Linked DNA regions of Coturnix japonica. The protein of the gene in region 3 interacts with the protein of the main gene of each other region in a biochemical or structural test. Links are inferred from orthologs where the notes say so. Each region holds a gene or a part of one and is shown on either strand. Other genes may lie near its edges.

The links.
Region 1: the proteins of PSMD2 (region 3) and UBE3C form a complex in vitro, tested with the Homo sapiens proteins (2 studies listed by BioGRID). The link is inferred for Coturnix japonica from reciprocal best matches to the Homo sapiens genes PSMD2 and UBE3C.
Region 2: the proteins of PSMD2 (region 3) and UBLCP1 form a complex in vitro, tested with the Homo sapiens proteins (3 studies listed by BioGRID). The link is inferred for Coturnix japonica from reciprocal best matches to the Homo sapiens genes PSMD2 and UBLCP1.

Annotation. Positions count from the first base shown.
Region 1 is NC_029517.1:7,678,942-7,688,510, reverse strand, and holds part of UBE3C (ubiquitin-protein ligase E3C), read right to left. Parts: intron 8,062-9,569; coding exon 7,975-8,061; intron 7,768-7,974; coding exon 7,610-7,767; intron 6,859-7,609; coding exon 6,626-6,858; intron 1,973-6,625; coding exon 1,868-1,972; intron 1,002-1,867; coding exon 914-1,001; intron 1-913. UniProt on the Homo sapiens protein: E3 ubiquitin-protein ligase that specifically catalyzes 'Lys-29'- and 'Lys-48'-linked polyubiquitin chains.
Region 2 is NC_029528.1:12,392,923-12,403,151, forward strand, and holds the start of UBLCP1 (ubiquitin-like domain-containing CTD phosphatase 1), read right to left. Parts: upstream 6,116-10,229; 5' UTR 6,042-6,115; exon of another isoform or gene 5,849-6,041; intron 3,648-5,848; exon of another isoform or gene 3,645-3,647; 5' UTR 3,608-3,644; coding exon 3,454-3,607; intron 3,034-3,453; coding exon 2,942-3,033; intron 2,572-2,941; coding exon 2,486-2,571; intron 2,395-2,485; coding exon 2,279-2,394; intron 1,600-2,278; coding exon 1,501-1,599; intron 602-1,500; coding exon 564-601; intron 1-563. UniProt on the Homo sapiens protein: Dephosphorylates 26S nuclear proteasomes, thereby decreasing their proteolytic activity. Recruited to the 19S regulatory particle of the 26S proteasome through its interaction with 19S component PSMD2/RPN1.
Region 3 is NC_029524.1:13,901,967-13,912,279, forward strand, and holds PSMD2 (26S proteasome non-ATPase regulatory subunit 2), read left to right. Parts: upstream 1-3,873; 5' UTR 3,874-3,920; coding exon 3,921-4,055; intron 4,056-4,230; coding exon 4,231-4,287; intron 4,288-4,487; coding exon 4,488-4,652; intron 4,653-4,798; coding exon 4,799-4,920; intron 4,921-5,029; coding exon 5,030-5,254; intron 5,255-5,349; coding exon 5,350-5,508; intron 5,509-5,741; coding exon 5,742-5,886; intron 5,887-6,093; coding exon 6,094-6,154; intron 6,155-6,327; coding exon 6,328-6,474; intron 6,475-6,619; coding exon 6,620-6,726; intron 6,727-6,877; coding exon 6,878-7,005; intron 7,006-7,081; coding exon 7,082-7,169; intron 7,170-7,293; coding exon 7,294-7,456; intron 7,457-7,539; coding exon 7,540-7,641; intron 7,642-7,727; coding exon 7,728-7,873; intron 7,874-8,050; coding exon 8,051-8,134; intron 8,135-8,296; coding exon 8,297-8,464; intron 8,465-8,543; coding exon 8,544-8,633; 3' UTR 8,634-8,638; intron 8,639-8,744; 3' UTR 8,745-8,876; and 5 more. Other genes in the region: ECE2 (endothelin-converting enzyme 2), read right to left, coding at 1-8, 166-231, 306-452, 537-661, 737-952, 1,102-1,246, 1,584-1,670, 2,975-3,016. UniProt on the Homo sapiens protein: Component of the 26S proteasome, a multiprotein complex involved in the ATP-dependent degradation of ubiquitinated proteins.

The DNA.
Region 1 (9,569 bases), on a different chromosome or scaffold from region 3:
CTAGTTGCTACATAATAACTAGATTACTATAGCAATCTAAGTAAACTAAAATCATTGTAACGATTCAAAGAAAATTGGTCATCAAGAACAAGTCCTTATACTTCAAACTTGGACAAATCTCTTAGTTCTGCAGAACTCTATGGTAGCATGCAAAGGCTATGGTCTTCTGTAAACGATCTGCTGGCTATGACACTGGGAAGTGAAATCATCTTCAAAGAGAGAATGGACTCACAGACAAATTATTTTGCTGCTTAAAGGTCCCATTTTTAATCTAATATTAAAATCTTCCCAAGTATTTATGACTTAACTAGAACATAGCAAGGTAGAATTCTAAAATAGTGACATTATAGGAGTCTGAAAAGCAGAAGCAGACTGTCAAAATAGAAAAGTGCATTAGTTCAATTAAACTAGTGTAAGTTTTCCTTGATATCTAAGTTAGCCCAATTCTCACATGCTTCTTTAATAGTTCCACCTAAAAGTTTACTTATTTTGAGTGATTCAAAGAAAGAAGTCCAATCAGAGACGATATTTACTAACTGTAATTAATACTTATCATGATACCAAAAATATGTATACAGTAAAATAAAACATTATTATATTGTATATTACACAAATATATGCATTTTCTGTCTTCAGCAACTGCCTTTCATACATACTCACACTGTTTAACACTTATCACTTGTTACTGTTACACCTCATCAATGCCAGCAAAACCAGCAGAAGCTTGGAGAAGCTGTTACACAATATTCCAAAGATAAACAAACACACTCAAATAGGACCATAAATGACTGCTTTGCCTTCTGTTATTATTAAAACTTTATACAAGATGTTCAGCTCAACTCTGTAAAAGGTAGGTTTTCTACGCATTAGGCAACTGTGTTTTGCCTCAGTAAAGCCAAAGGTTGTATCTTACCATCCAAAGTAGACTGTAATGGTCCTATTCTTCCCATTCTTCTGACTCTCCATACATGCCTGGCAGATGGCACATAGAGCTGTGTAACCTAGTAGATGAACACATTAAATTTAGATATTTAAGATCCTACAAAAGTAGGGTTTGAATTCTGAGATGTAAAATAAATTCTCTTACTTTGAATTGAGAATCAAAATAACACTACTGCTTAAGACTACTACTTTAAGGTGGGTGGGCATTATTTCCCACCAACTCTGAAGAACTGTCACACAGAAATCTTGAACACAAGGTAAGCAAGCAAGCAATAATCAAAAATAAATGGAACAGTCTATAGCTTTTCATTGCCATGCAGCACATCCAACTATTGGAACATCTAACACTGCATGGTAGTTTGCCTCAGATATGATTGGCTTAAGATCCAACCTCAATGATTCAGAGGAGGCACATGTGCATTTATAACAGCGTTTTCATATGCATGCATACATACACAAGTTCAAGCAATGCCATTTTGTTCAAGGGCTTTTAGGAAAGAAGTGATCGCTATGTGAGATAAGCACAGAAAACTCGACTGAATTTTACTGTATTTTGGAAGTAAATTTTGAGGTATGATTCCATGAGAGAACAACTGCCCTATTTTTATTCTGAGAAAAGCTTAAAATAATATGAAAATTAACTGCAAAAAAGCTACACAATTTCCAATTCTCTGTGGTTGTATATAGAGCTTAATTGAAATACTGCACTGTAGTGTGGGTCCTACACTGTGGCCTGGTAAAGCAATTTAACATAGAGGCTTCTTAACAGATGCAAGACTTCTATACTACAGAGATAAGCAGTGTTACTACACATTTTAACCAACGTTAAAACTGCAAAATATCAACATTGCTGGTACTGTTAGGAATAAAAAATTAAGCTTCATCATCAGTAATGCTCTGTGAGAAGGAATATAATTACACTTACCTTATCTGCTTTAATGTTTTCTTGCTCTGAGAGCCAGTGATTTGGTGGACAGAAATTTCTCCTTGTATCTCTTGCTTTCAGCATTTTCACCAAGTTTGTGATGACCTAGGTGTCAGAAATACATACATTCAATATATGCTTAGTACTGTGAATGAAATTCTAGAAATTACAAGCTAAAACTTGAGGGAAAAAAAGTAAGTTAGAGTAAGTACTGATTTCATGCATTACTAAACCCTGCTTTTACACTTTAACTTAGCACATGAGTAACTGTGGTTCACTAGTATGTAATCCAAAAAACCTAGCTTATTAAAGACTCATTTCAAATTTTAAGAGCTAGGACTTAGTAATCCCTAGGATTTCACACCTATGAAGTGAAATGCTGGTTCAGCAAAGCATAATCAAATCATTACTAACACTGAATTACTTCTTAACAGAAATAATACTTAACTGAGTCATTTAACTCTGTTTTATACATTTTTTCCCCCACTTACTTATATAGGCTTTTAAAAACTTAAGCATACAAATAGATGCATGTTTAAGAAGAGACAGATATATGCCAGCTCTTTATTATACGGCAGCCCAAATCCAAGATTTTGAACAACCTGGCAGATGGCTAAATTCTCTCTCTGTCAACAGGAAAGAAGTCTCTCAAACTTCCATGCATCATTTTTCAATGAAAATGATCTACAGAAGATTGGAACTTTTGCTTTCCATCTTAAGATAACACAGGTCACATACTATACCACACTACATAATTCTTAGGTATCAATCAATTACAGCGGGTATGTCTGCCTACAATTGATGAACTTATTTAACAAGCTAGCAGAAGATCACATGATATGCTCCTTAATGGTCAAACTCTACAGAAGCCAACATCAGTTTCAAAAAAGTACAGAAGGAGAAGGCAAAAGCACTAAACAGGCACCAAAAGTAAATGAAAGATGTAACTAGTTCTAGTTGCTGCACTAACTCCTTTTCTGCTAAAGGTGCCTCAGAGAAGTCATAAGCATCTGCCAATTATATCACCTCACTGAAGTGATTATCCATATGGAAAAACAAATGCTGGTATTTTTAAAAGCTCTACATCTCAAAGAGACTGTGGGCTCCTTTTATTGTCGTCAGAGCTAGGTAGGAAAAAAAAAAAAAAAGTTATCTTAAAGTATCTATCACTTACCAAATAAACCATACCCTCAAAGACCCTGTTAGAACAGCTCCTAGTATGACTAGCTCAGTTATTTCTATCTATTTTTAGCTAAACTCTAAGATTCTTAATAGACTCAATTTAACAGATTCATAAAGCAAACGTGTTCCTGAGAAGGGCCCAGCCTACAGCAGACTACAAATGGACAGCTTTGCAAAAAAGGAATCATTGCCAATATTATTCTAGTGGTCAGGACAAGAAGCCTAAGGAGGACCTACAGTCTTGAAAATACATGCACAGCATGGTGGGTTGCAATTTCTATTTGATATATATGTATGTAGTATATTATAATGTTATTTACATACTAAGACATGTTAAGTAAAAGCCCTTCAATGTGTTAAGTCAGTAAGCCCAGCAAAACGTATAAGCGTTTTCCTGGAAGCCATGTGGTAAAGTGGCCTAACAGATTTCTGCTTATCAGCTGAACTACAGTGCATGATGTTGTTACAACCCTGTGCCACTCAACCACAAGGCATGACGCATTAGTTTAAACCATTATGTTCAGTTCGCTTTCTAATTCACAAGGAGCTCAAACGATGAAAGGTAAATTTGTCATAACTACACAGCCCGAAAATGAGAAAACAACAGAAAATTGTGGGAAAAATGTCTGTCACGATCATAGGAGTGAGTCTGCAATTCTATTTTTCTTGTCAGTTTCCTCCAGTCCAGAACAGAAGGAAAAGCATCAAGGTAACACCTACTCCATCAAAAGCACTGGCATACTTTCATGTATGTCTTCTCCCTAAAGTAGGTACAAGGTATGTGCAAGACAGAATCAACTTCAACCAATGTTACATAAAATTAAGTGGAATCAATACGATTTTAACTTAGTAGCCTCAAAGAAGTTACCGCTGCTGTGATAAACATGCACCTGTTTTGAAACTTAGAACTAGAGCATTTGAGAAAGGAAGAAAAACACACAGCTTTCCTGAAGTAATCTTCCTAAAAGACAGCGTTAATAGGCAGGTGTCAAAGAGTGACACCGAGTTTAATGGGCCTTCTAAAGGAATCTGTGTCTAGATGCTATACAAAAGACCTTTTAAGATCCAGCTCCTGTTGAATAAAAGAACAAAAGAATGCTATTAAGGGAACTGTCTGATTACACAGGAATTTTCATCACCTTGCCCTTATAAAATTCAATGCAGGTGAGATGAGTCACTGAAGCTCTGTGGTCCCATTACCACTATACTCAAGGGAAAAAAAAAGGCAGAAATTTTTTTTCCATGTGAAGACCATGCTAATAAAGTGCTTTTAAAAGCTGTTATAAAAAGACCCTAAAGGAAGCTGAATCAGACTAGCTGAGACTGGAGTTCCTTAAGTTCTGAGTACATGAAAACAAGTTTCATTAAGGAATAACACAGACTGCTTTGAATTAATTCTTTGAAATTAAGTTCTTCTGCAGAATTTGTAGCAGCTGACTACAAGGCAGATTACACCAAGCCAAAAAAAAAAAGGTGGTACTAATTAATAAAGACATTTTCATACGTAAATCCTACCCTTCCAAGAACTTGCAATTTGCCAGCCAAAAAGTACTGTCAGCAGTCACTGTTTTCAGGTTTACCACTGCCTTGCTGCTGGTATGCACTCCATATCAGACATCAATCAGTGACATGGAAAACTTGTGTGAGAAATTAAAAGGAATGCTAGGGAAGCAATGGATAATAGGGAAGCAATATGCCTTTGTCTGTAGACACCTTGCAAAAGCTTCAGAATGGACAAGTCTCTCATATATGACACAGCATAAATAAAAGTAATTTCTACTTCAACACCTTAAATTTATAAACTGCTTCAGCTTTGTTTTAAGATGGTTTTTCTTGGAAGAAGATACTGCTGCCTGCTTACCAATGAGAACCTACTTGGAAACTGCCCTCAGGAAAGATTTTGTGCTTCTCAATGGAGCAAACTTAGTTGTATTGAGCTTTTATATGCAATACATTTCTGGAGGAATATGCAAGCTAAGCTTTGTTACTTGCTATATTATGGGTAAAACCAGTTTTCAAGATGCCCCTAAGATTTACACAGATGTATCAATTAACGGAAGACAACTCTGGCTCCTGGAAGTATAAGCAGCAGACCAAGTTGATACAAGTTGAATCCTGCCTGCAAAAGTGAGGAAGAGTAACTTGGAATTTAACAACTTGCAGCATGGAAGCACAGTATGATCAAATTCACTGGAAATTTAAGATGCTAACAAACGAGTAAATAAGACAAAGGAAGAAGAACAAACAGAAGATGACACATAATAAACTGCTAACAGAGAAACGCTCCTAATACGCTGCTCTTGTTAGAGAAATAGACATACTGGGGTTTTCACTTGTGACCTTTAAATTGAAAGTTTATTTGGCAATTTAAAGACAAGTAATTAAATTAAATCGTGCAAACATATATTAGATCAATCAGTGCAAATTACAGATTCAGCGGTGCATTAGGACTGTATTCAATGCAATCAAAACATTATCAGTTACTCTCACTGCTATTAATGCTTATGCTCATAAGTGAAATGTGTTGTAAAATCAGACAGAATAGGCTGGATAGAGGCTATCTTAGACTTGTAGAATGAATAAGCATTCCTTAATTAGCCCATCAGGTTAAGTGCAAGTCTTAATGGGCCTTTCCTAAAGTCTAGCATGACATCTTTCTCCAAACATGGCCAAGAAGAAAGTTCCATTAGCAATATTAATACAAGCTTAGTTGATCATTTTCATTCAATTAACTTCTTTCAATTAAATAGATAGCTTGACAAAAGCAGTGATAAAAGACCTGAAGGGACAGCTGATGACTCGAACTGAACATTAGTGTGCGAGAGGTCACCAGTATTAAACGGACTGTAAATCTACCATTCAATTTGGAAAATGCATTTCTTCTGCTCCCACTTCTTTAATGAGCAATTTTAGCTGACTAGATATGTTTGCTGCAGAATTTTCGTGACAAGTCAAGCACTCCATTTTTCAGCAACAGTTAAATTAGGTTTTTTCCCTGCCAACATTTTCAGCTTCTTTTATGTCTTAGAATGCCATGGATAAAACTAACAGAAATATATTGGTAGATAGCCAGAAATGATGTACATTAAGTTTAGATTTGTTAAGCCAAATTCACCATCTCAGTAGTATTTCAGCAAGCCCAAAAGGAGTACCAACATCACGTCCTGGTAAAACACCAACAAACCAGTGGTGAAGCCTAGTAGCAATTTAATGAAGCCTCCAATACTGAAGTACCCAAGTCACCACATGATCCCATTAGAACTGCATGCCCACGTCATGCTGTAATCACATACTAAGCATCCTGCTGAGCAGGATTTCAAGTCAAAATGTCTATTCTATGCAGTACCTATGTTTTCTTTGAAAGTTAAACAAAGACTTGTGAAAAATACAGTTATCGGAATTTTATTACTTAAAGTTCAGCATCTAGTCCAAAAATCAATCTTTTTGAGTCCATATTCCTGAAAAGTGCTAAAAAAAAAAAAAAACCTAGCAAAAATAAAACGCATCCAGTCTCATTTATTCAGCCTAAGTCTGAAAATGTTATTTTAAGCTACTCAGAAAACTGACATGACTTACCTTGAATAACTGAATCCACCTTTTTTGTTCAGTCTGTATACACTGCTGCATCTCTGTATTTTTTGCTACTCCAACACTTCTAAATGCTGCAATATATTCCTCGCGAACCTCTGGTTTTGTTTCTGGATAAGCCAACTTTATGATTCCTAAGCACGCATCTCGAAGGCAGCGTGATAATATTACAAGCTCTTCTAGTGTAAAAGGCATCATTGATGATTGTCTTTGACCTACAACTAAAAAAAACAGAAGTTGAAGTTTCTTTCAATGTTTTCTTTTTTGCTATTAAAAAAGCACTGATTTCATTGGAACCTTAGTATTCACACACAATCTGCTATCAATCAAAAACATCACGCAAAAAGAGAATATCTTTATAAAAAGCAATGACCTCATAATTGTTTACAGACACAATTACAGTATTATCTTATTTTCTCCAGCAACTATGTTAAAAGTTTGAATTAGTCAATAGATTCAGTCCAGATCTTCATTCTCTTCACCAGTTCACTGCAAATTACCATGATTAAAAACTTGCATAATAGACCCTGTAAAACTATGGTTCCCATGGTGCAGACCATCTTTTTTTTCACCCCCCCCAAATGCAATCATCATGAAAGAACCACATGACAGCTGATTGCTCAAGGGACCAGCAGCAATTCAACCCAGCAAAACCTTCCCCACAGATGTCAGCAAATCATTGCCCAGGGAATCCTCAAGCTGTAAATTGCAGACGCTGAGCAGTTCTCAGCCAATTGATATGGCAGCAGGACATTTGTTCTAGAATTGTCATATTAGAAGCATGTAGTGAATTTCCATTCTTTTAAGAAAAGTAGAAGGTGGTTAATATTCCTGTTTCTTAACAAAGGATTGCCCAGAAGCAACTGAATTGCATGGATTTAGTCCTCAAAGTCTGACAGTTCAACATTTTAAGTAGCCTTACACAAACCTGTTTTGTAAAGCACTGTTATCAAGTATGCTTCAAACTCTCACCTTCTATAGGATCGCCGAAGAATTCATTATCGTGAATAGAAATAAGCGAATGACTAAACAAAGAACTAAATAGGTAGAAGAGAGGGATAATTCGACTAGAGTCTTCTAAAGACATTGGAGAACCTCTTGAAATTACTTGAAGAAGTGGCACCATAGACCTGAAAACACAATATTCAAAATTAAGACATTGTTAATTAAACACATGAAAAAATACATTAACTTAAGCATTCCAGTAAAAATATTAAATAGCATATATATATATATATATATATATATGTATATGTGTGTATATATATATATATATATATATAGTATTCTTAAAAAAAAAAAACAAAACTCAGATTCAGAGATAGAGTAATACATACCCTGTAATCATTCGTGTAGTCATTGAAGATATCAAATACCAAAGATGCCTCAGGAATCTGGCATTAAAGGCTAAACTGTAAAGAAGCCTGTAAGAGGAAGTTCAAATAAATCATGTCTGCCAGTACAGCATATTTACAAAACACAATGCTTCGTACAGAACTTTACTGTCAAGCATTCCTCAAACATAAACAATTCAGGTGTGCTTTTTCAAGATGGGGTTTTTATTCCAATCATATCTTGTAAAAGCTCCAAAGTTTTAGAAGAAGCACATAAATCCTTGCATCTAATACACTTCCATTAACTCAGCAACAACCATGTGATACAGACCCAAATTTGCAGTATACCACAAAATTAAACAAGCATTAAATAAATACAACTTGTTATTTTTCTGAGAATGTTTAGAATTTAATGTAATGAATCACATTAACTCATAGAGAGGTCACTTCTGTGATTCATCTGACACTAATAAAGAAAGAATTTTTTTCACCGCAAGTAGATTCTAATGCCTTAAAATTGATACCAGTAGCAACAGTAGTTATACTCATGGAAAAATAAGAATGCCCACGAATCAGCTACATACAGGACTGACTTTACAATGTCAATACAGACATGATTTGAGTTGATAAACTTTCTATAGAAGTGAAAAATAAAGAGCATCTTGATACTAAAAGTAGCCTACTCCTTTCCTCCACAGGAAAAAAAAGACTGGGAACAAACAAATCGCATATTCTAGAAGTAAAAAGAACCAAATCTGGACTTGACTGACTAAGCTATCATTTGACTGATATTGAAGAACTATACTCAGCTAGCTACTCTCCAAGGTATCCCAACCACTATCAGGCTAAAGACGGAAACATAGACATTCTTAGACATTGTCTCTTAGACATCGACAGTCTCAGAGCATTGAAATTTCTCATAACCAAATATACACACAGGAGGTAGGAAGCTGGGAAATGCAGCAGGGAAAACAGACAAGAAGGGCTGTCTGAGAAGCTAGTATTTATTACAGAGCACGTGGATAAATTAAAATTTGCCAGAAGGTAAAAGGAGGCACACATTTAATCAAGGAAAAAAAAAAGTAAAATATTCAGTAAACACTTCAGAACATTTGAAAAGCTTCTAAGCAACAATTCATTTCAAGACAGGAAAACAAAATCCCTAGCATACCCACACACAAATACTGCGCAATATCATATGCCACTGGGTCCTAGCTTACTGGCTGCTTAAGCTCCATGGGCTTTTTTATTGCTGCCTTCTCTACAGCACAGCCTCTCTCATGCCCCCAGCCTCTTTTTCAGGCTCTCACCTGCCATGCACCCAGCCAAGGGTGGGTGGACCCACAAAGGGCCTGCGAGTCTGGCACAGAACAGGAGCACAAAGAAGGAGAAATGAAAGACAAGGAAGAAAGTTTGCAAGGCATTTTTTGCTGATGTAACATCCCCTTTGTTAGAAGAAGTGCAGATTTTAAATCCTTGTAATATATGCAATATTATAAAAGGAATTGGAAGCCACACATCATGAAAGTTCTGTGATGATGAACACTACTGAACTTGAGTCACAGAATCACAGAATGACCCGGGTTGGAAGGGACCTC
Region 2 (10,229 bases), on a different chromosome or scaffold from region 3:
CTAAGCGTGGCTGTAAATATGTTTACTAGGTCAGCTGTGCAAAGCTGGCTCATTGCCCAGTTTAGATATGGAAGAAACCAGGATTGAAAGAGGAGCATTTACAGATGTTTTAATAAAGCAGAGGAAGAAACAAAATCACACAGCTGAAAGAGGTACAGGATGATGATGGAAAGTTTTCTCTTGATAACCTATTCCAGCATGCCACATCTGTCCATTCTCTTAAAGAATTGTGCTGTGCTTGAGATTAGAACTCTGTAATTAGAGCTAAGATGAAAGCAACAGCAAAGGCTATGTGACTAAGTTTCAGCAAGTACTGACTTGTGCTTAGTTCTGCTAAATTTAGTGCCTCCTGCTTTGATGGTTTGTGTGGAGTTCTAAAATTAGATTTTATCTAGTTTTGTGTCAAAGGTATTTTAAAGTGACTACAAAGATTCAGAAAACTTGGATATTGATTAATACAGTCTCCTTGGTCACTAAATCTCTCTATAACAGTGAACATAAACCCAACTAGATGAACAGCAGGCTAGAGTAGTAACAAACTGCACCTTTTCAGAACAACTTACTTTCATTTTAGCTTCAATCCACTTCATATTGGTAGCAGCTGAAAGAAAAGGGATAAACCAAATAATTATTTATCAGTACATCATTGATAGATTTAAAAAAAAAAAAAAAAGCAAAAAACTGTTTAGGTATCAATTTGGTTTACAGACCTCCATTTCAGAAAGACCCATCATTGTCACAGCTTTCAGGGTTCACTGCTTTCATGACAGTCTGCCTTCATGGAAGTTTATTTTAATTTGGAAAAGATTAACTTTCAAATGAAAACCAGATTAAGCACTGCGTGCATTTAAAAACATTTTTAGATCAGTTGTTAGTGAATTACATTCTTGAGAGCCATAGAACAGGCTACATCTGGTTTGAGGAACGTTGTCTTTATGGGATTTTCTCCTGGAAGCACTGTAAGAATTCATAAGGTTGAGAAAGGACAAAGTATCAATGTTGCCAGCTGACCTAGGAATATGTGGAAGCATCGTTTCAGACTTTGAAAGCTAAGTTTTGTAAAACAAGTTTAAATTTTATGTTGGCTCCAGCTGTCAGACAGGAAGGGAAGCTGCACTAAAGCAAAGCATCAGTCATCCCTATAGACATGTGAGTTTGGTCTGTTTCCAGTTTTTTATTGCTATGGCTTATTGTCTAGACTGAAATTATTTGCAGAGCTAAGATACCCAGCAGTGTTTGAATGCTGGTTTTATAACTGTTTTATTTTAAGCATTTGTTTGTTTGTACAAAGTAACATTCAGTAAACGGATATTGAGCTTTATACTGTTATTAGATCCATTCATAACAGCAATATTCCAGGTGAATACATCACAGCTGATCGTTCATGTACTGCTTTACATCTTGTAATTCACATAAAAAGTGATATAAAAGCCTCCCAGCTGGAGTCTGCTCCAAATGATAGTTTATAATGAAGTCTTAGCACTGAGTACATAAACTTACACCAAATTACAATATCATAATCCTCATATGCAGATGTCAGGAACTCATGAAGGTACGGCCTCATCAGTTCTACTCCAGTTTCAGCGCAAGATCTGTGGTCTAAAAGGAATACAAGAAGGCAGAAATTTATTATAGAGTGTCGGATGTTAGGTATGACTGTCCTGTTCACCCAGGGACTTGAAATGTTTTGCTTGAGAAGCACATGGAGAAATCTGAAATTATGAAGGAACTTAGAATAAGGCACCATTTCTACTTTAAAGGTGCAAAGAAGAAGGGATATTTATCTGTTGATCCTTAAAGGAATTTGCGTGCTTAGCTGTGTGTCTGAATATCTTTAATGAGACTAAAGAGTCACACCCATTAATTTATCTGTTAATTCTAACAGCCCAGATACTGACCAGAGATTCTTGCAAACTTAGTCCAGTTGATCTTGTGAACATACAGAGATCATTATTTTACAACAGTGTCTTATCCTGCCATCATCATGTCCAAGATACACATTGGTCAATAGAAGAGTTCATTGGATAAAATCCTAAACTACTTTTTGCATCGTCTTGGAGAAAATAAGTAGTTGCTGCACCAAAATCAATAATATACAACATCTACAAATGCCAATGCTTCTTAAAATATGAGCAGAGGACCTCAAATTGTTACAAAACAGAAGTTACGTAGTACAACACAAGCCAAAATAACTGAAGTATATTTGTAAATCGAACCTAAGGAACTGGCAAATAAATCGCTCTCTTAAACCAACCCCACAAGTTGCATAAAGTCTCACCAAATAGTGTATAATCAACGTCTAGCACCAGCAGCTTCTTTCCTTCCCTGGGAGGATTCAGAATTTCCACTTTGTATTCTTTAACTCTGCGAGAAATTTTTAGTAGATTTTCTTCCCTAATATAAGAGTACAAAAAGTTACAGTTAATTAAAATGCATACAACACGTTCCATAACAGGACAGGTTTTTAATAGCTCGAATTCCTAACCTGTTTTCTACTTCCACAACTTCCTCTTCAATATCAAAGTCATTGATGACATCATCGTTATCAGGAGGCGGCCCAAGAACATCTTCCTAGTGGAATAATAATAAAAGATAACTGGGATTACTAAAAGAAAGCAGTGCATATTCAGACCCAGTTACTGTACATTACAGTCAAAAAATGAAAATTAACAAAGGTGATTTTACTTCACGAGTAGAAAAAAATGCTCAAGTACAGTGATGATTTGGTTTCAGAAGTCAGTGGGGATATCACAGTTGTAAGTTTGTACTTTAAGCCCAAAACAAGGGACTTTAATGCTATTCAAGTTTTACAGAAAAGTTTACATAAATACCAGAAATCTACTGCAGTACTAATTTTGCAGTGATTTAAAATCATAATGAGGAGACATACAATCTTCCTTTCCCCCCTCTTCTAAAGCTAATAAGCAAGTAAAATATTTACCAAACTCTCTTCACGAGTGCCCATCATCATGATTTTAGTATTTGGTTTTAACTTGAGTGCTCCAAGCTTAACATCATCCTCCGCAGGTTTCCCTATAAAGCAATAAGAGTTCTGTTTGCTTTTTTATTGTTCATTTTTGTTCATTTATTTTTCTTTTCAAACTGAGAGATTTTAGTAAACTGTCAGTATATTTCATGCTTAACTGAAATTAGCTACCCATAAAACACAAGAATACTCCAAGCTGCATTGTCATCCTCCATCACAGACATGCTACTTGTCTGACTAACAAGAATTAAAAATGTTTAAGGTACACCTGCTGCACATCAGCCATTAAAAATGACCCTTTAGATGTATCAGTAATGAACTACATAGTGATGTATCAGATCCCTCTGTGTGCGCTCATTCAAAAGCAAGATCTAGGAGGTAGATGCTCTGTTAATACACACATCTTAACTAAGCTAAGAGGATGCTCTTCCTTAAATATCTCACAAATAATAAATACAAATAATTACCCTTCATCTTAAGTCCAAGTAATTTTTGGCGCTCTGGTAACACTCCAGTAAGGCCTTTAAGAGATTGCTTCAGATCCAACACAGTGTCCTCTTCTGATAGCGAGGTTATCGTATACTCCTGTCCTCCCCATTTTATTATGAGAGAGAGAGACATCCTTGAAGCATATGTTCAGTGTTATTTCCTGAAAAATCTGCTGGAGGAGAAAAATGCAATGATCATGTAAGCAAGAAATAGGAGTAGTTATTTCTTTTTTCAGAAGACAAACATTATAGTCTGTTTTTACATTTTTGTGATGTTGTACATCAGTGAGCTGCTTGTTTTGCATGCACAGGTGATAAATGTTAATACAATAGTGAAACTAAGGGAGAAAGAACAGCACTACAGCTGTGGCTTTGAGTTCCACTTTGATGTACTTAGCAGTGTCACACTCACTGTCTGCTGTAGCACATGCTCGCTTGCTGTGTGTTCAGTGCAGGTACAGCTTTTTGCAGCACAGCCAGCATTCAAGCAGAGCACTGCAGCATCAGAGAAGTCATTTCAATGTCCTCTGCAATAATTTCACAATCAAACCACTCATAACATACGTGGCTATTAAACAGAAAGTAAGCAAGTCCTAAAATACACAAAAAAAACCCAACCAAAACAGTTCTGAACCAACAGTTCAAGTGGATCGAACACTTTCCCTACTCACTTTCACTGAGATCTGTGCAGTAGCTGCAGTAATACACCTCAGGTCACGTCTCACTGTAGCAATATCAAAGCAGTTTGAAAACAAAGCCAAAATACACACCTACACGGTACAATTACACTGTAAGAACTGCACTTTCATTGCAGTGCTGACAAAATAATCGTAATTACTACCTTTAATTTACGCCAGATCATTTATGTGAATTATATTCAACGGTTTATTCCCACACTAAAGACAGAAGCAAGATTTCTAGCTTTCTGGGAAAGGAAAGACATGTTTTCTTCCGCCAAAGTTTGGAAGCAGAGAATCAAGGAATGGGTATGAAAAGGCCATTTCAAACTGTCAGAGAACCAGAGAAGGCCTCTGCACAACTAATGGTGAGAACGCACTTAAAAGATTGATGACCAAAAAGTAAAGGGAGAAGAGCCATAGAAACAAAGTAAAACCAAACCTGAGGGTGTCCACCTTCAACTGTACCAGGCATTGCACTGTACCAGGCAATCCAGGTCTGGCAATTCCAATAAAAGCCAGAACTCAAAAGTCTGACTCCTCATCCTCTCCAGCATCGCTCTCAGCAGTTACCTGCTCTCATCCAAAGTAATTCCTGCCTATACAATATCCTTTGTTAAGAACAATTGAATAATTATTCAGACATACCCACCAAGCTCAAATCAGATAAGAAATGGAGGATCAGATACAACCTGCCTGCTGTGCACAATAAAAAACATTCTTCCTCACTATCTCCTCTAAGATCCCTGAAAACAAACTGAATACATTTTAGAACAATCAATTTTTATTATATTTTAAAATATCTCCAAATATCCCCAAATTGGACGGGGAATAGTATTATCCTGTGAATTAGTATTATTCTGTGAAAGATGGCCTTAGAAGTATTAAGAGAATCAACTGAGGTTAAGGCTGCATATCAGCAGTGTTAGCTCATCACAAATAACCTCTGCCCATAAACCTCAGACCAAGATTTCTATGCTTAGAAAGACGAGTTTGTGGCCTGCTTTCTCAACTGTACCACATGCCTGAAGTCATTCTGCAAGCAAATGCACTGAGTAAAAGCAGTAAGGAAACTTCTCAGGCCTCAAACTGAAAGGATCCCTATAAAGCAGAGCACTCATCAGCTGCCAGTCCTTGCAGAAGTACAGTTATCTCAGGATGAAGGTTATCAGAAACAACAAACAGAATGACCTTTATTCAGTGCAAAACACTGATGGAACTGGGTGTGGACAATAGAATCAGTGTTTCCAGGCAGGGAGATGGAACTAGATGATCTTTCAGGTCTCTTCCAGCCCAAGCCATTCTGTGACTCAATGAACAGATGAGGACCAAAGAGAAAGTCACAGGGATTTTCAGTTCCTATGGACTGGGTTGTATAGAAGGGATAGTGAAAGATAGTGAAACCAAGTTTGTTCTAGTCATTGTCAGATGGATGACATTGTCAGAGCCCCGAGGGCCACCAAGAGCCTAAAGTTAAAAGGGCACTGGGGCAGATAAAGCGTGGTTCTTGGATCTGGGAGGGAGATACACCTCCATGTTTCTGGGTATTCCACCCCGCAACGTAAAACGTGAGCACGACAAACCCAACCCGCGGGATGAGCAGCGGCACGGAACGGGGACGGAGCGCTCAGAACGGCCGTGGATCCCCGGCTGAGGCCGGTCCCGGCGGTGACACGGGGAGCGCAGAGGCCTCGCGGCTGCAGGCCCCGCTGTGCCGCGGACGTTGCGGGGCCAGGAGAGACGCGCTCACCCCTCGCACCCCCAGCACGGCAATGCCCGGTGCTACCGCGCACGGAGCCTTCAGGTCCGGCCCCTCACGGCGATAGAGGCCGCAGAGCCGTTATACAGAAGCCCCAGCCCCACCCGCGGCAGCGCGATGCGGCCCCTCACCCTGGCAACGGAACCGGCACCGACCCGCGATCCGCCGCACCGGTAGCGGAAGTGGAGCGCGCCGGAAGCGGAGGGATGGCGGATGTGAGCTGGTTCCGGTTCGGTGGAGCGGGGTGTTTTAGATCGTGTTGGCTGCGGACTGTCGGTGTAGGCCCAACCGGGACCCTGCATCCAGGCGGGCCGGGCCGGTACCAGCCGTAGTTCCGTAGTGGTCTGTGTGTGCCAGGAGACGCTGAGATGTGTCAGAGTCAGAGTTATCACTGCTGCTGCAGAGTTATTTTCCTGCTCTGCTCTGATAGGAATTCATTATTTGATTTAATTTTATTTTTGAGGTAAAATCCACGGGTGGCACCGAGCGAGTGGGCTGGCACGGCCCACAGCCACCAGTTCGCTGCCATCAGCTGCTCTCTTTCATTAATAACCTTCACAGGAGGTTTATTGATGCCCTGAAGTCCTTTGTAGCTTCTAAGCTACATGGCAGAGTATGGTTTTGTATCCCTTGAATCAGTGGTGCCGTGTTGGGGGCTGCTGGGATGCTCAGCTGTAGTTGCTTTGTGACATTGATAACGAGTGTAGAAGGAAAACTTAGTTTGTGCAAAGATGAGCTTTTGCATTTAGATGTTCTGCTCCTTAGAAATCGTTTAAAGGAAAGAAAACTATCAGTGCTGAAGTGTGATGTAAAACCAGGTGGGAAGGATATTGACTGCAGCTGTGGTCAGAATTAAATCTGCAGGGGAGGAATAGTGGATGTGTCGGTCCTTTAGTCTTAGTTCTTGCTCAGTAATGACCTTCTCCTTTTTTGTTCAGTGATAGGAAATGGAAGAAGAAAGGAGAGCTGAGCACAGCGCTGCAAGAACTGTCCCTCACATTGTGTTGCAGACCTGAGCAAGGTGCAATATAAGAAAAAGCTGCACAGAAGGCTGGTTTTCCACAGTCTTTTTTTCTTCTGACCGGGAATTAATTTTATGCGTTTCCTGCTTGGATACAGATTTTAAGTTTTGTTCTATATTCAGATTTGAGCATAAAAAGTGCTCTGGTTTCCAGAAAAGCGATGCAAATGGGAGGTTACTTCACTGACTGTTCGTGTCAGGTGTAGCTTCTGACTGCACTCAAATCCCTGTTGAACCAGTTAGTGTGTATATATTCTAGTCATGAAGGGCTTTTCATGCTAGTTCCCCTCTACAACTATCGTGCTCTGAGGCAGCATGGTACAGTAGTGCTGGAAAGCTTCCAAAGTTACAAGTAGTAATTAAAGTCACACCCTGTCATAAAACTATGCACCCTGGAGGCCTTTTTAAACAAACTCAGGCTACAGAAATGAGACTATAATGTGACCAGCTCTTTACTTACAATCTTTTTGATACATTCTAATAACTTCCTAATTGGCCTTGATAAAACTCTCTTGTGGAGAAGAGGCATTAATTGTTTTCCTGTTTGGTTTTGGTTTGAAAAAACTATTCAATGTTTCTAAATGATATTTCATTTTGGGTATGATGATGGTGTTTTAGTGTCCTGAGCCATGACTAGGACTACTTTGTGCTCAACACTGCTGAAAAATGCTCTGATTCTGGTGTTCATGTGGCACAGAAAAATATGTCCTTAAACTCAGCTGTAAGAACACACGGTGGTGCTAAATCCTAACATTAATAAGTGCATAGTGTTAAAGGAGTTTCACTAAGACCATATAATTGCAACTCAGAGCCCAAACAGCAGCATCTTTGTACAGAAAAGTTTGTTTTGGGGTGGTACTCTTTGGGTTTACACTGTGGTAAATTCTAGCAGGGCAAGGAAGAGGAAAAAGCAGTGAGGAAATCTTAAAGCAAATGTCCGCTCTGTGGCATCCCGATATACCCTATGCCTGGGATGCTCTAGGGTGAAACTAAAGAAACTTGTTCTAAGCAGGCAGTAACAGCAATGACATGTGAGAATGTCCATCTCTTCAAGTCTACACTGTCCAAGTGTTTCCAGCCTAAGGCAGATTTGTGCACAAATGCTGTCCTAACCTCTTAAATGTAATACAACAGACAGCGTGGTTTACTGGACACTGCCATCACTGTGCCCCAGGAACAGCAATGTATGAATGCAAGCTCTGATTCTGAATCAGTGTGTGACTGTGGGCAAAACAGTGAAACTTTGCAGTGTTCAATAACGCAATGTGCTTCAGTAGCTGGCAGCTCAGCTGGAGACATAGAAACGTCTCTGGTTTGAAATGAAACACATTTTCAAGTTATCACTAATACAGTGAGTCTCTGTCTTGGCTTCATTATCAATAAGGTGGAAGTTGGACCAATATTTGTACAGCTTCCTCACATGAGTTTTTTCCAAATTATTTACATAGTGTTGGCACTGTGAGATGTTATAAATACTAGAGGTTTGTACCCATCTAATATGTGCTGCTCTGATTGCTGAATGTGACCATTATTCTTCTCCCACTATTCAGCCTAATTATTTTTATTTTATTTACTTAAATTCTTTGTATTCTAAATCAAGCCCCACTGGCAAGGGATCTGGGGAGAGAACTGTGATTCTTTTATTCCCCGAACAAAAACTGATTCATCATTTTCCTTACATCACCTCTCATCTCTCCAGCTTCTCAACACAGACATTGGTATGGCTTTCCCTTAGGTAAGTTGTAAATCGCAGCAGCTGTGTATTTGTTGGGAGTCAGCACTCCTCAGGGCTGTTAAAGTGGTAAAAATGTATGTAATCATATGAGATGTAATTATGAGAGATACTGCAGAAGTGGTTTCCTGAAGAGAGTGAAATAAAGATGAAACTGTGATACTGGGACAAGATAAATTGCTAGAAAGCTGTGGAAAGCTGAGAGAATGACAGGAAAAAATAAGAGTCAATATGAAGCTGAGAGATGGGGAGAGATTTAGGAAACAGGGTTATAGACAATGAAAAGAAGTTCTGAGATGGGGTTAAGGAGTGAGACCTGCTGAATCAGGCAGATACATTTGCTATGTATGGCTTCCATTGATGTGTTAAGGTTGTACATACAAGGCACAAAATCAGGTTTCACAGCCAATCTTAATTTTCGTATGTAATCGTTGTGTGACTACATCTCACAGCGCGACCTACTGCTTTCACATGTATATGCATGAATATTTCATGAAACAATTCACTGTGAAAGAAGCTTCAAATAAAACTGCCTGTTTTATTGTCTCCCATAGGCGTGCAGCGTCCTGCCGTGTCAGCGTATTTTGCTGCTTTAGAGAATTCTTATGAGGGTTTTTCTTTGTAAGCAGTTTGAGGTGCTGGCGGTTGTCCATCCACATGGACAAATCAAATTGCCAAATCATCTGAGCCCTGAGAATGTCTTTTGAAAGCTTTAATGAGGTGTCACCAAAGTGGTCCTCTTTAGTCCCTCAGCTGCTGTTTGGTACAAGTTTGTAATCCAAATGCTTCTGCTCATAATGAGAGACAAACAGTCATGGAATTAATTATTGTTATCACTCAGTGTCAAATGTGGAAAAGGCTTTAAAAGTCCTGAGAGTTTTAAAGCAGAAGGTTGTGGTACTTGACGAGACAGATCTTGCACTATTGCCCCTGACTTCATTCAGCTCTGAATCGAAACCACAAAGAACAGAAGTGACTCTTTTCCCCCCCACCATGTACAGCAGGAGAATACAAGTGCTCCATAGAAGCTGAGATTCTTACGCCTTGTATGACAGCTGGTGGTTTGTACTCCTTGTGATAAGATGTGGTGTGGTGGTACCAACAAGTATTAGTGAGTAATAGCATGTTTGGTCTCCTTTCTGCTGATGTCTGGGCTGACAAACTGGAGGGAAGTCAGGTGTAATAGTAACACCAGATAGACCCATCAGAGCGTATAGCAGGCCCCTTTGTATGCAGAGAGGGCTCATATTGCAAAGCATGATGTGGACATAACACCCTTATATTAGTATCTATTTTTCATGGAGTGAAATGTGTTGAGGCTGAGCTCTTTTAATACATGTTGATGAATGCTTGGGTTCTCATTAGAGGTGGAAGGAAAAAAGCAATTACTGAGTTGGCTCGCCCAGCCCTCGCGAATGACAGGATTTTCCAGTTCACCTTATTCCCTCATTCCTCACCACAGCAAAGTTTCTCATGTCTGAGACAGTGCGGCTTTGTGATTTCTTTTCAGGTATGAAGGTCAAAAGCTCTACAGCTCTTCATTACCACTTTTTGGGGCGTGCTGGG
Region 3 (10,313 bases):
GTCAGGACCTGGTGAGACCCCAAAACACATGTGCAGCTCTCCTCTGCCCACAGGTTCCTGGTTTGGCCACCCCTTAGGGTGAAGATCTGACCAGGGGCTCAGACCTGCTGCCCCTGGACCTCCTGTCCCTAAGTCCCCAGCTCCATGCAGAGATCCTGGACTCACCTTCTCATTGGCAGTCTTGTTCAGGTAGTAATCCCGGGATGGAAGGAAAAGCCCCGACTGGTCCACCTTGGGGACAGAGGGACAGCATGGGTGTCCCATACATCCCAGAGCCCCCAGTGCCTGCTACCCCCAGCGCCCACCTGGATGACGTTGCTGTTGGAGTTCTTGGAGTCTGCACCCACATAGACAGTGAAGAACGGGGTTGCTCGGTAGGTGCCTGACACCATCTTCAGCACCTCCATGAAGCTGCTCTGGTTCCAGGTGCCGGTGACATTCCATCCACCGATCTGCCACCAAATGGAACCAGGAGGTGTTTGTCACTCAGTGCTATGGGGGAGGCTCCAGGACTGTCCCCAGAGCTGAGCCCTCACCTTGTCAATGAGTTCCATGAGAGGCTGGGAGCCCAGCTCCTCGATTCTCTGCTCCTTGAGGCAGGACAGGTAGTAGCGCTGCGTCTTCCTCTCCGCCTCACTGCTGGAGTTGAAGCTGGAGTTCTCTGCGGGATACTACAGCTCAGCCCAAACCCCTTCTGCTGGCACCCTCAGACAGCTCCCATCCCCACCGCGCTCACCCAGCAGGTGCTTCATGACAGCCTGGTTGTGCTCCCAGATGCTGTTGAAGGTGCTCCACTTGGAGCGCCCGTTGGGCAGTGGGTTCCTCTTGATCCAGCCCCCACACGAGTACTGGTAGAAGTCCTGGCAGGGGTCAGTGTCCGTGTCCAGGGCTTCCAGGATCTTGCTGGCCACCCGGACACAGGCGTCCGTCAGGCACATGGTATGGGAGGGATCTGCAGGGAAAGGGATGCGGGGAGGGGTGGGGGGGGAGTGGAACTGAGGCACAGAGTGGGGCTGCTACTGGGAGTGGGTACAGCACCCAGCAACCTGCTGTCCCCACGAAGGGCAATGGCATCTCTACCCCAGCATGGCAGTCTCCTACCTCTGCTGTACTGAACGGCCAGAGCCACGATGGTGATGCCGAGCAGAAGGGCCAGCGTGACAGCGACAGTGCAGAGCACCAGCTCCAGCTGGGAGCGCGAGGCCAGGCGGCTCAGCAGTGGCCCCGTCCCCTTCCGAAACCCCACCTGGGCAGGAGGCAGGGGCTGACATCACATCCCCTCCCCAAACTGCTCCCAGGTGCCCTGGCTTGGCTGTGGGGCATGGGGACTAGATGGGGACTAAGCTTGGAAATGGCCACTCTGAAGCCAGTGCATCCCTTGTGGACGAGCCATTTGTGGATGCTGGTGCACCCCCTGTCGAGCTGCAGGGAAGGGGATCACTCTTTGCTGCATTTTGGCTGCCTCCCAGCACATCATCTAATGACAGCCAAGGCTGGCCGGGCTCCCGGCCCCACTCATGCTGCGGGCTGGGGCTGCAGGAAAGGGGTCCTAAGCAAAGCAGGGGAGCTGTGCCGTAGCTCACCTCCACGCTGTCGGGGGAAGCGCTGCCATCCCCTGCCGGCTCCGGCCCCTCGTCCTCCTGCAGCGTGGCATGCTTGTAGTCAGGCATCTGAGGGGGGAAAGCAGGCTGGGGGGGGCTGCACCCCACTGCCCCCTCTGCCTCCTACAGCAGGTGCCTGGGGGGGACAGGGCCTCCTCCAGAAGCCAGCCCCATCCCCGGTTTGCCCTGGGGAGGGCAATGCAGGATGCTGGTGGGAGCCCTTGGGGCCCGAGCATCCCTGCGTGTCACCATGGCAATGGCAGCATCACCCCGCTGACAGGTGCCACATCGCCACGGAGATTCACTCCCCATCTCCTGGCAACCGTTGCTTAGTGCTGCTGCCTCGCCCCTCCCCCCCACCTGGAACTTTCCATGCAGATGTGCACTGGTCTGAAACATCTGGAAGCCCTCTCCCCTTCCTCCCACCCATGCAAGACAGGGTGCAGGGATCCAGGGGGACAAGGGAACCATGGGGGGGGGGCATCGGCTGGTTGCAAAGGACCAGTGATGCTGGTGAGATAGAGACCCTTTTGCACCAGAGCCGGGGGGGCAGCCCCATTGCTTGCACCCTCCCTGCCATGGAGGCTGCAAACAGCTCAGCGAGGAAGGAGGGATGGGGGGATTGAACTGCAGAAAGGAGCAGGGTGCTTCGGTATAGAGTTTCTGGGTATGCACTGTCCTCAGGCTTCAGAGTTAACGCCTGGGTGGGCTGTGGCTCAGCCTCCATCTGCGCATCTCTGCAGTGCTCAGGGGTATGGAGTTGCTGGGGTGTGTGTGGGGGGGAAGGATAAGCGCTCTGCTCCCAGCTCCCCTGCCCATCACTGGGACGCAGGGAGGTTGCAAAGCCGGGGGGGGGTTCCATCACTGTGGGATGGTGGTGTTGGACAGCCTGGTATTCGGGACTGGGGCAGGCTGGGTGCTCCAGTCTGCCGCGGTGCCCCATGTCGCCTCCAGCCGCATCCCTCCTGGCACCCTGAGGTTAAGGCAGGATCCAGCCCATGGGCTCTTCCTGCGCCATCCGTGGGGGAAATGGGCCCCCCAGCCCCGGGACTTGCAGTGGGGCAGCATCCACAAGCTCCAGGTGTGCCCCCTGCTTTGGCACTGCGAGGGGCCGTGGGTTCATCCCGATTTCTCCCATTTCTGCCCCATTTCTCCCAGCGGGGAGGTCCCTTTGCCCCTCTTCCCCTGCTGCCATGCGGAGCCCCCCAGGCCCCCTCAAACCACGGGCTCTCAATCCCTTTTTTCCCCCCGGCTCCTTCTCCCCGCAGCCCCCCGCATCCCTTCCCATCTCCCGCAGCTCTCCAGCCCCAACACTCGGGCTGTCCCCGCGCCCCCCCCTCCTGTCCCCTGCGTCCCTCCCTGCCGACACTCACGGCGTGTCCGAGCTCCTGCAGGGCCACGTTCATCCTGGCCATCCCGCCTAGCTCCGCTCCCCGCCCGGCCCGCTCCGGGCCCCCGCCGCCGCCGCAGCGCCGCCTGCCTCCGCCATGGCCCGGCACCGGCACCGGGAATAGGTCCGGGAGCTGGAGCGGCGCCGGGCAGGGACGGATGGAGCCGCCGCAGTGGGAAGGGACCGGGGGGCTGGGGACCAGCGGGGTGAGGCACCGGCACCGGGGAGCGGGGACGGTTAAAGACCGGCGACCTCAGGGGAGGATGCAGCGGGGGGCACCGCTCCGCCCGGCCCCGCCGCCGAGGTGACCGCGAGGGGCAGCGCCCTCCGCAAGAACGGGCGGAGCCGCAGCACCGGCACCGGCACCGCAACCGGGTGCGGTCACAGCGATGCGCAGCGGGACGGAACCGGGAGCGGAACCGGGGACACGGAGCCCACGCGGTGCCACGCACAGTCACGCACAGACACAGAGTCACGCACACACAGTGTCACGCACAGACACAGCCGCCCACGGCAGCGCTGCCACCCCCGGGGACCAGCGGGCGGGTGCTGTAAGGCGGGCACGGCGCTACGAGACCGGCTGTGCCACGCGTGTCACACTTCCACGCGTGTCACTGCTTTGCGGGTAATTATCCCCCTCCGGGCTCCCCGTCCCCACGTCCCACGTCCCCATCCCGTCCTGACCCCGACACTCCGCTCCCCACGCCCGTGGGTGTCACCGCCCGGCGCCAGGACACGCGGGGAGGGTCCACGAAGCCACGCCCACATCCCGCTAAGCCCCGCCCACAATCAGCTAAGCCACGCCCACATCTCATAAGCCCCGCCCACTCCGACCAGCGGCAACTCCCATCGGGCGCACGGTGATGACGTCACGTAGACTACGGGCCGTGCGCAGGCGCAGAGCGTGGCCGGTGTGCGGCGGAGCGGCCATGGACGCGGGAGGCGGCGGCGGGCAGAGCCGGGTGCAGGGCGGGCCGGGCTCGGGAGGAGACGAGAAAACCCCTCAGCTGTGGGGACGGGACCGACGGGATCCGCCCGCGGGGCCCGAGAAGGAGCAGGAGCTGGTGAGAGTCGGCCGGGGAGCTGAGTCACGGGGCGGGATGGCGTCATCGGGGCTCCCTAGGCCGCGTGACGTCATACGGTGACGTAGTACGGGGGGCTCCGGGGTGGCTGTGTGTTACTAACAGGGACAGCGCTGTCCCCGCGGGTCGCCCCTAACCGTGTGTTCCATCCCGGCAGTCGGAGGAGGACAAACAGCTGCAGGATGAGCTGGAGATGCTGGTGGAGCGTCTGGGGGTGAGTGCGGGCCCCGCAGCCTAGAGAACTGGGGGGGAAATGCCCCGTGTCACAGCCCTGTGGGTGCTCAGAGCTGTGCCCCGTGGGTGCCTGTCTGCTCGCTGTGCCACAGCCCCATAGGGCTGACTTTAGGGTGTGGGGGGCTCTGAGCCCAGAGTCAGCACCTCACACACCTCCTGATGGGCCTCTTCCATGTGCAGGAGAAGGACACGTCTCTCTACCGCCCGGCGCTGGAGGAGCTGCGCAGGCAGATCCGTTCCTCCACCACCTCCATGACCTCTGTCCCCAAACCACTCAAGTTCCTCCGACCACACTATGGCAAGCTGAAGGAGATCTATGAGAACATGGCTGCTGGGGAGAACAAGGTGAGTGCTGCCATCCTGTGTGGGCTGTGACTTGCCACGTCCTTGCTTTGCCCCCTGTGGACACAGTGGGGCACTCAGTCCCATGTGGGTCTTCTGGGGTGCAATCAATCCCATGTGAGTCTGAAGCTCCAGCTCTCTGTCCCCAGCGCTTTGCAGCAGACATAATTTCTGTCCTGGCTATGACCATGAGTGGGGAGCGTGAGTGTCTGAAGTACCGCCTGGTGGGCTCTCAGGAGGAGCTGGCATCGTGGGGGCATGAATATGTCAGGTGAGACTGGCTGGGAACAGGGCTTGGGGTGGATAAGAACAGCTGCCTCACATCCGCGGGGCTGGGTGAGGCTGGTTTCTGTGGTCACGATGTCCCCTTCTCCCTGCAGGCACTTGGCAGGGGAAGTGGCCAAGGAATGGCAGGAGATTGATGAAGCTGACAAGGCACAGAGGGACACACTCCTCACCCTGGTTAAGGAGATTGTCCCTTACAACATGGCTCACAATGCAGAGCACGAGGCTTGTGACCTTCTCATGGAGATCGAGCAGATGGACATGCTGGAGAAATACATTGATGACAACGCCTACTCCAAAGTGTGCCTCTACCTGACCAGGTGAGGGACTGGTGCATCTGTCTGGCCCTTGGTGGGCTAAGGCTGCCCAGTTTCATTGGCTGACACTCATCCTCATATGCATCTCCTCCTCAAAGCTGCGTAAGCTATGTCCCAGAACCTGAGAACTCTGCTCTCCTACGCTGTGCTCTGGGCATTTTCCGCAAGTTCAACCGTTACCCTGAAGCCCTGCGCCTGGCTCTGATGCTCAATGATGTGGAGCTGGTGGAGGACATCTTCACCTCCTGCAAAGATGTGTAAGTAGAGACAGTCCCTGGGCTCGGGGGGGCGAGTACAGCTGAGTAGGATCCTGACATTGTCAGATGTGGCTGGGGGCTTGGCCAGATACTGGTGTCCCCAAAATAAAGATGAGCAGGAGCCAGTCATCTCTGGGCTGTTCTTGTATGCTGCTTGAGCAGGGTGGGCTGAGGTATGTGACTGCTGTTTGGCTATGGGGGCTGGATGCTTTCAAAGCCTCTTCCCTCTGCAGAGTTGTCCAGAAGCAGATGGCCTTTATGCTGGGCCGCCATGGGGTCTTCCTGGAGCTGAATGAGGACGTGGAGGAGTACGAGGACCTGACTGAGATCATGTCCAACGTCCAGCTCAACAGCAATTTCTTGGCCTTGGCTAGAGAGGTGAGCACTGTGCTGGAGAAAGATCTCTGGGCTGCTCCAGGCTGGGATCTGCCCTGGCCACCAGGCTTTGTGCTCTGTGGCAAGACCTGGGGAGAGCTCTCTTATCCCTATGAGCCTGGCCAGGTCCTGCTGGCAAGGCTGTCTTTGTAGAACAGCTGCTGTGGTGCGTCTGTGGGGAAATAACCCTCTTTTCCCTTGTCTCTGCAGCTGGACATCATGGAGCCCAAAGTACCAGATGATATTTACAAAACCCACTTGGAAAATAACCGTAAGAGCTCATGTTTTGACCTTGTCTGTCTCTGGATAGAGCAGACCCCATTGCTTCTGGTGGGCTTTGTCTGCTCCTTCCCTGTGGCTGGGGATGGGGCCTCACCCACTGTCTGGCGTGGGACAACTGTGCAGTGGAGTGTTGGCCTGCCTCACTCTGATCTTGTTCCCCAGGGTTTGGGGGCAGTGGTTCCCAAGTGGACTCAGCCCGGATGAATTTGGCATCCTCCTTCGTGAACGGCTTTGTAAATGCTGCATTCGGCCAAGACAAGCTGCTGACAGATGATGGCAATAAATGGTTGTACAAGAACAAAGACCACGGTGAGGGTTGGAGGTGGCTGTGGGCTTGGGGTTGTGACCCTTTGTGGGCCCTGCTGAAAGTGTGGCAGTTGGGTACAGCCCTGCTGTGTCCAGGCTGGTCACACTGACTTGGGCTTTTCTCCCTGGGAACCTGGGAACTCAACAGGAATGTTGAGTGCTGCAGCTTCATTGGGCACTATACTGCTGTGGGACGTGGATGGGGGCCTCACACAGATTGACAAGTACCTCTATTCCTCAGAGGATTACATTAAGGTGAGTGGCACTGATCTCAGCCCCATACTCACTTGGTACCAACCAGCCTGTCCTGGGGAGCAAGTGTAACCTGTGGGGTGACATGAGTCACTGGCTGGCAGGGAGCTCCATGTGGTGGTGGCTAGTGCATAATGGTGCCTCTGTTTCATAGTCGGGTGCCCTGCTGGCCTGTGGCATCGTCAACTCAGGAGTGAGGAATGAATGCGACCCTGCCCTGGCCCTGCTATCTGACTATGTCCTCCACAACAGCAACACCATGCGGATCGGAGCCATTTTTGGGTAAGGGTCTGCCCTGGCGTCCTTGGCTGTGTGGGATGGTGCAGCCATCCCTGACATTCCTCTCTGTTCTCCATAGGCTGGGGCTGGCCTACGCGGGCTCCAACCGCGAGGATGTCCTGACTTTGCTGCTGCCAGTGATGGGGGACTCTAAGTCCAGCATGGAGGTAGGGAGCAGAGCAGGGTGTGCTGCACGAGTCCCTGACAGCTCCTGGGGATGCTGGGGCTGGTTTGGGCTCTGCATGTCCTTGTGTGATGTGCTGTGCCCTAAGAACATGGCTCCCTCCCCAGGTGGCTGGTGTGACGGCCCTGGCTTGTGGCATGATATCTGTGGGCTCTTGCAATGGGGATGTCACCTCCACCATCCTCCAAACCATCATGGAGAAATCAGAGACGGAGCTGAAGGACACCTATGCCCGGTGGCTGCCGCTTGGCCTGGGCTTGAACCACTTGGGTAAGAAAGGGCAGCACTGGTGGTCCTGTGAGCTGGGACTGTGAGCATCTCTTGGGTGCCCTGAACTCTGTGCCTCTTCACAGGCAAGGGAGAAGCCATCGAGGCGATCCTGGCAGCGCTGGAGGTGGTGTCGGAGCCGTTCCGCAGCTTTGCCAACACATTGGTAGACATCTGTGCCTATGCTGGTGCGTTGAGCTGACCAAGGCTGAGGGAGGTGGGAGTGGGACCAGGCCTTCCTTCTGCTCATCCTTACCCACTGCTGACCTCACAGGTTCAGGGAATGTCCTGAAGGTACAGCAGCTTCTGCACATCTGCAGTGAGCACTTTGACTCCAAGGAGAAAGAGGAAGACAAAGACAAGAAGGACAAAAAGGAGAAAGAGAAGAAAGAAAACTCAGCTGACATGGGAGCACACCAGGTAGGAAAACCTGGGCTGGAACCTGCGGCCCAGGCCCAGTAGCTGCCCTGTCTGGAGTCAGACCCAGAGGAAGTGGCCCCAGCAGGATCCTCTGCTCTCGCTGTCCAGCTGGGCTGTAAGAGATTGCATTTGCAGTTGGTGGTCTCTGCCTGGCATTCAGTACTGGTGTCTCTGCAGGGTGTAGCAGTGTTGGGCATTGCACTTATTGCCATGGGTGAGGAGATTGGTGCAGAGATGGCCCTGCGCACGTTTGGTCACCTGGTGAGTGGCAGCTGGGGGACAATGTGGGGCTGGGAAGGGACCTGGATGAAGAGGGCAGATCTTCTCTCACATCTTGGCCTTGGTAAGCTGGGTTGTGGATGCCCCACCGTGCCCTTGCCCCTACCTGGGTTTTAATATCTTCTCTCTCTCTGTTCCATGCAGCTGCGGTATGGGGAGCCCACCCTGCGCCGTGCTGTGCCCCTGGCCCTGGCGCTAATCTCTGTTCTAACCCCCGTCTCAACATCCTGGACACCCTCAGCAAGTTCTCCCACGATGCTGACCCTGAAGTCTCCTACAACTCTATCTTTGCCATGGGCATGGTGGGCAGTGGTAAGCCTGGGTGGCAGCTTGTGTGTTATGGTGGGCAGCCATGGGACCAGGCCGGTGCCTCAATCCCTGCCTTCTCCAGGTACCAACAACGCCCGGCTGGCTGCAATGCTGCGGCAGCTCGCCCAGTACCACGCCAAGGACCCCAACAACCTCTTCATGGTGCGGTTAGCCCAGGTGATGATCCCACACTTGTGGTTGGGAAGAGATGGGGGTGGCTGTGGATGGGGGGGCCACCACGTGTTGCCCCACTTGTGCTCACGTGCTTTCTGTGCCACACCAGGGCCTGACCCACTTGGGTAAGGGGACGCTCACCCTGTGCCCCTACGCAACAGCGCATAGGGCAGCTCATGAGCCACGGTGGCTGTAGGCTGACTGTTGACCGTCCTCGTGTCCTTCCTGGATGTGCGCAACAGTGAGTAACGTGTCATAGAGTGTTTCATCCATCCCCTCCTTCCCACACTCACACTCTCCCTTTCATCCCCTTTCAGTTATCCTGGGCAAGTCCCACTATGTCCTGTACGGGCTGGTTGCGGCCATGCGAGGCCGCCGTATGTTGGTCAACTTTCGATGAGGAGCTGCGTCCTCTGCCTGTATCGGTTCGGGTTGGACAGGTGAGGAGCTGGAGCCTGATATGGGTGGCTGGGGGGGGTTATATCCCATAACTCCTCATCTCAGCATGCTTGCTCCTGCAGGCTGTGGATGTGGTGGGCCAAGCGGGCAAACCCAAAACCATCACCGGCTTCCAGACCCACACCACCCCTGTGCTGCTGGCACACGGCGAGGCGGGGCAGAGCTGGCCACCGAGGAGCACGTGCCCGTCAACCCCCATCTTGGAGGGCTTCGTTTTTTCCCCCATCCTGCGGCAAGAACCGCAATACTACGACTGTTGAGGGGGGCTGGGGGCTGAGTGGTTGGGGGGGGGGGGGAGAATGACTGGGGGTTTTTTTGGGGGGGGGGGGGTTGTTTTTATTTGTTACTGGGAGATGAGGAAATAAAGTCTGCGTGGATCGGTGCTGCTGTGCTGCCCTTCAGTTCTGAGCCTGTCCGTCGGGCAGCACCCAGCGCACCGTGCAGCTCCGAGGGTCGCGCTGTGTGTCCGTGCCCCCGCCGGTCCCTCCATTCACGTGACACGGGCGGGGGGCGGCGCTCGGTCTCGGTGCCGCCCGGTCGGTGTCCCCTCCCCCGCTGGTTGTGCCCCTCCCCCCGTGGTTGCGCTGCGCGCTGGCTCCGGAAATGGTCGTGCTGCGCTGCGCTGCGGCTGCGTCGGGCCGCGCGCGCTGAAGGAGACTGAAGGTAACGGGCGGGGGCGGGGCGGGAGCGCGCCGCGGGGGGGGGGGGGGGGGGGGGGGGGGGGGGGCACCGGCACCGGGACCGAGTGCGGCGGGGTGAACCGAACCGCGGCGTGGAACCGCCGGGCATCGCCGCGCCGCCGGGCCCCGCCGCTACCGCTACAAGCGCCGCCGCTACCACGTGGGCGCCGCCGGTCTGCACGCCGTTATCCGCGCTAAGCGCCGTCTCTCGGCCCCTCGTTCCGGTGTAGCCGGCCCGAGCGCCCGTTCCTTCCCCACGTGCCGCCGCCGTGCACGTGCTCCGCCGCCGGGCCCCGCCGCTCCGCCGCACGTGGCGCGCCCCAGCGCCCCGCCCGGGCCCGGTGTGAGGCCGCGGGGCCATGGCGGCGGGCGGCGGTGACACGTGTCCTTGGCACAGGCCGCGCCGCCGCGGGGGGGAGCGAAGCGCCGGGTGCCGCCCTGGGCCCCGCGCCGTGTCCCGCTCCGCTCCTTCCTCATCCCGGGGCCGCCAAGATGGAGCCGGCCCCTCCGGCCTAACACCCCCCCCCTACACACACACA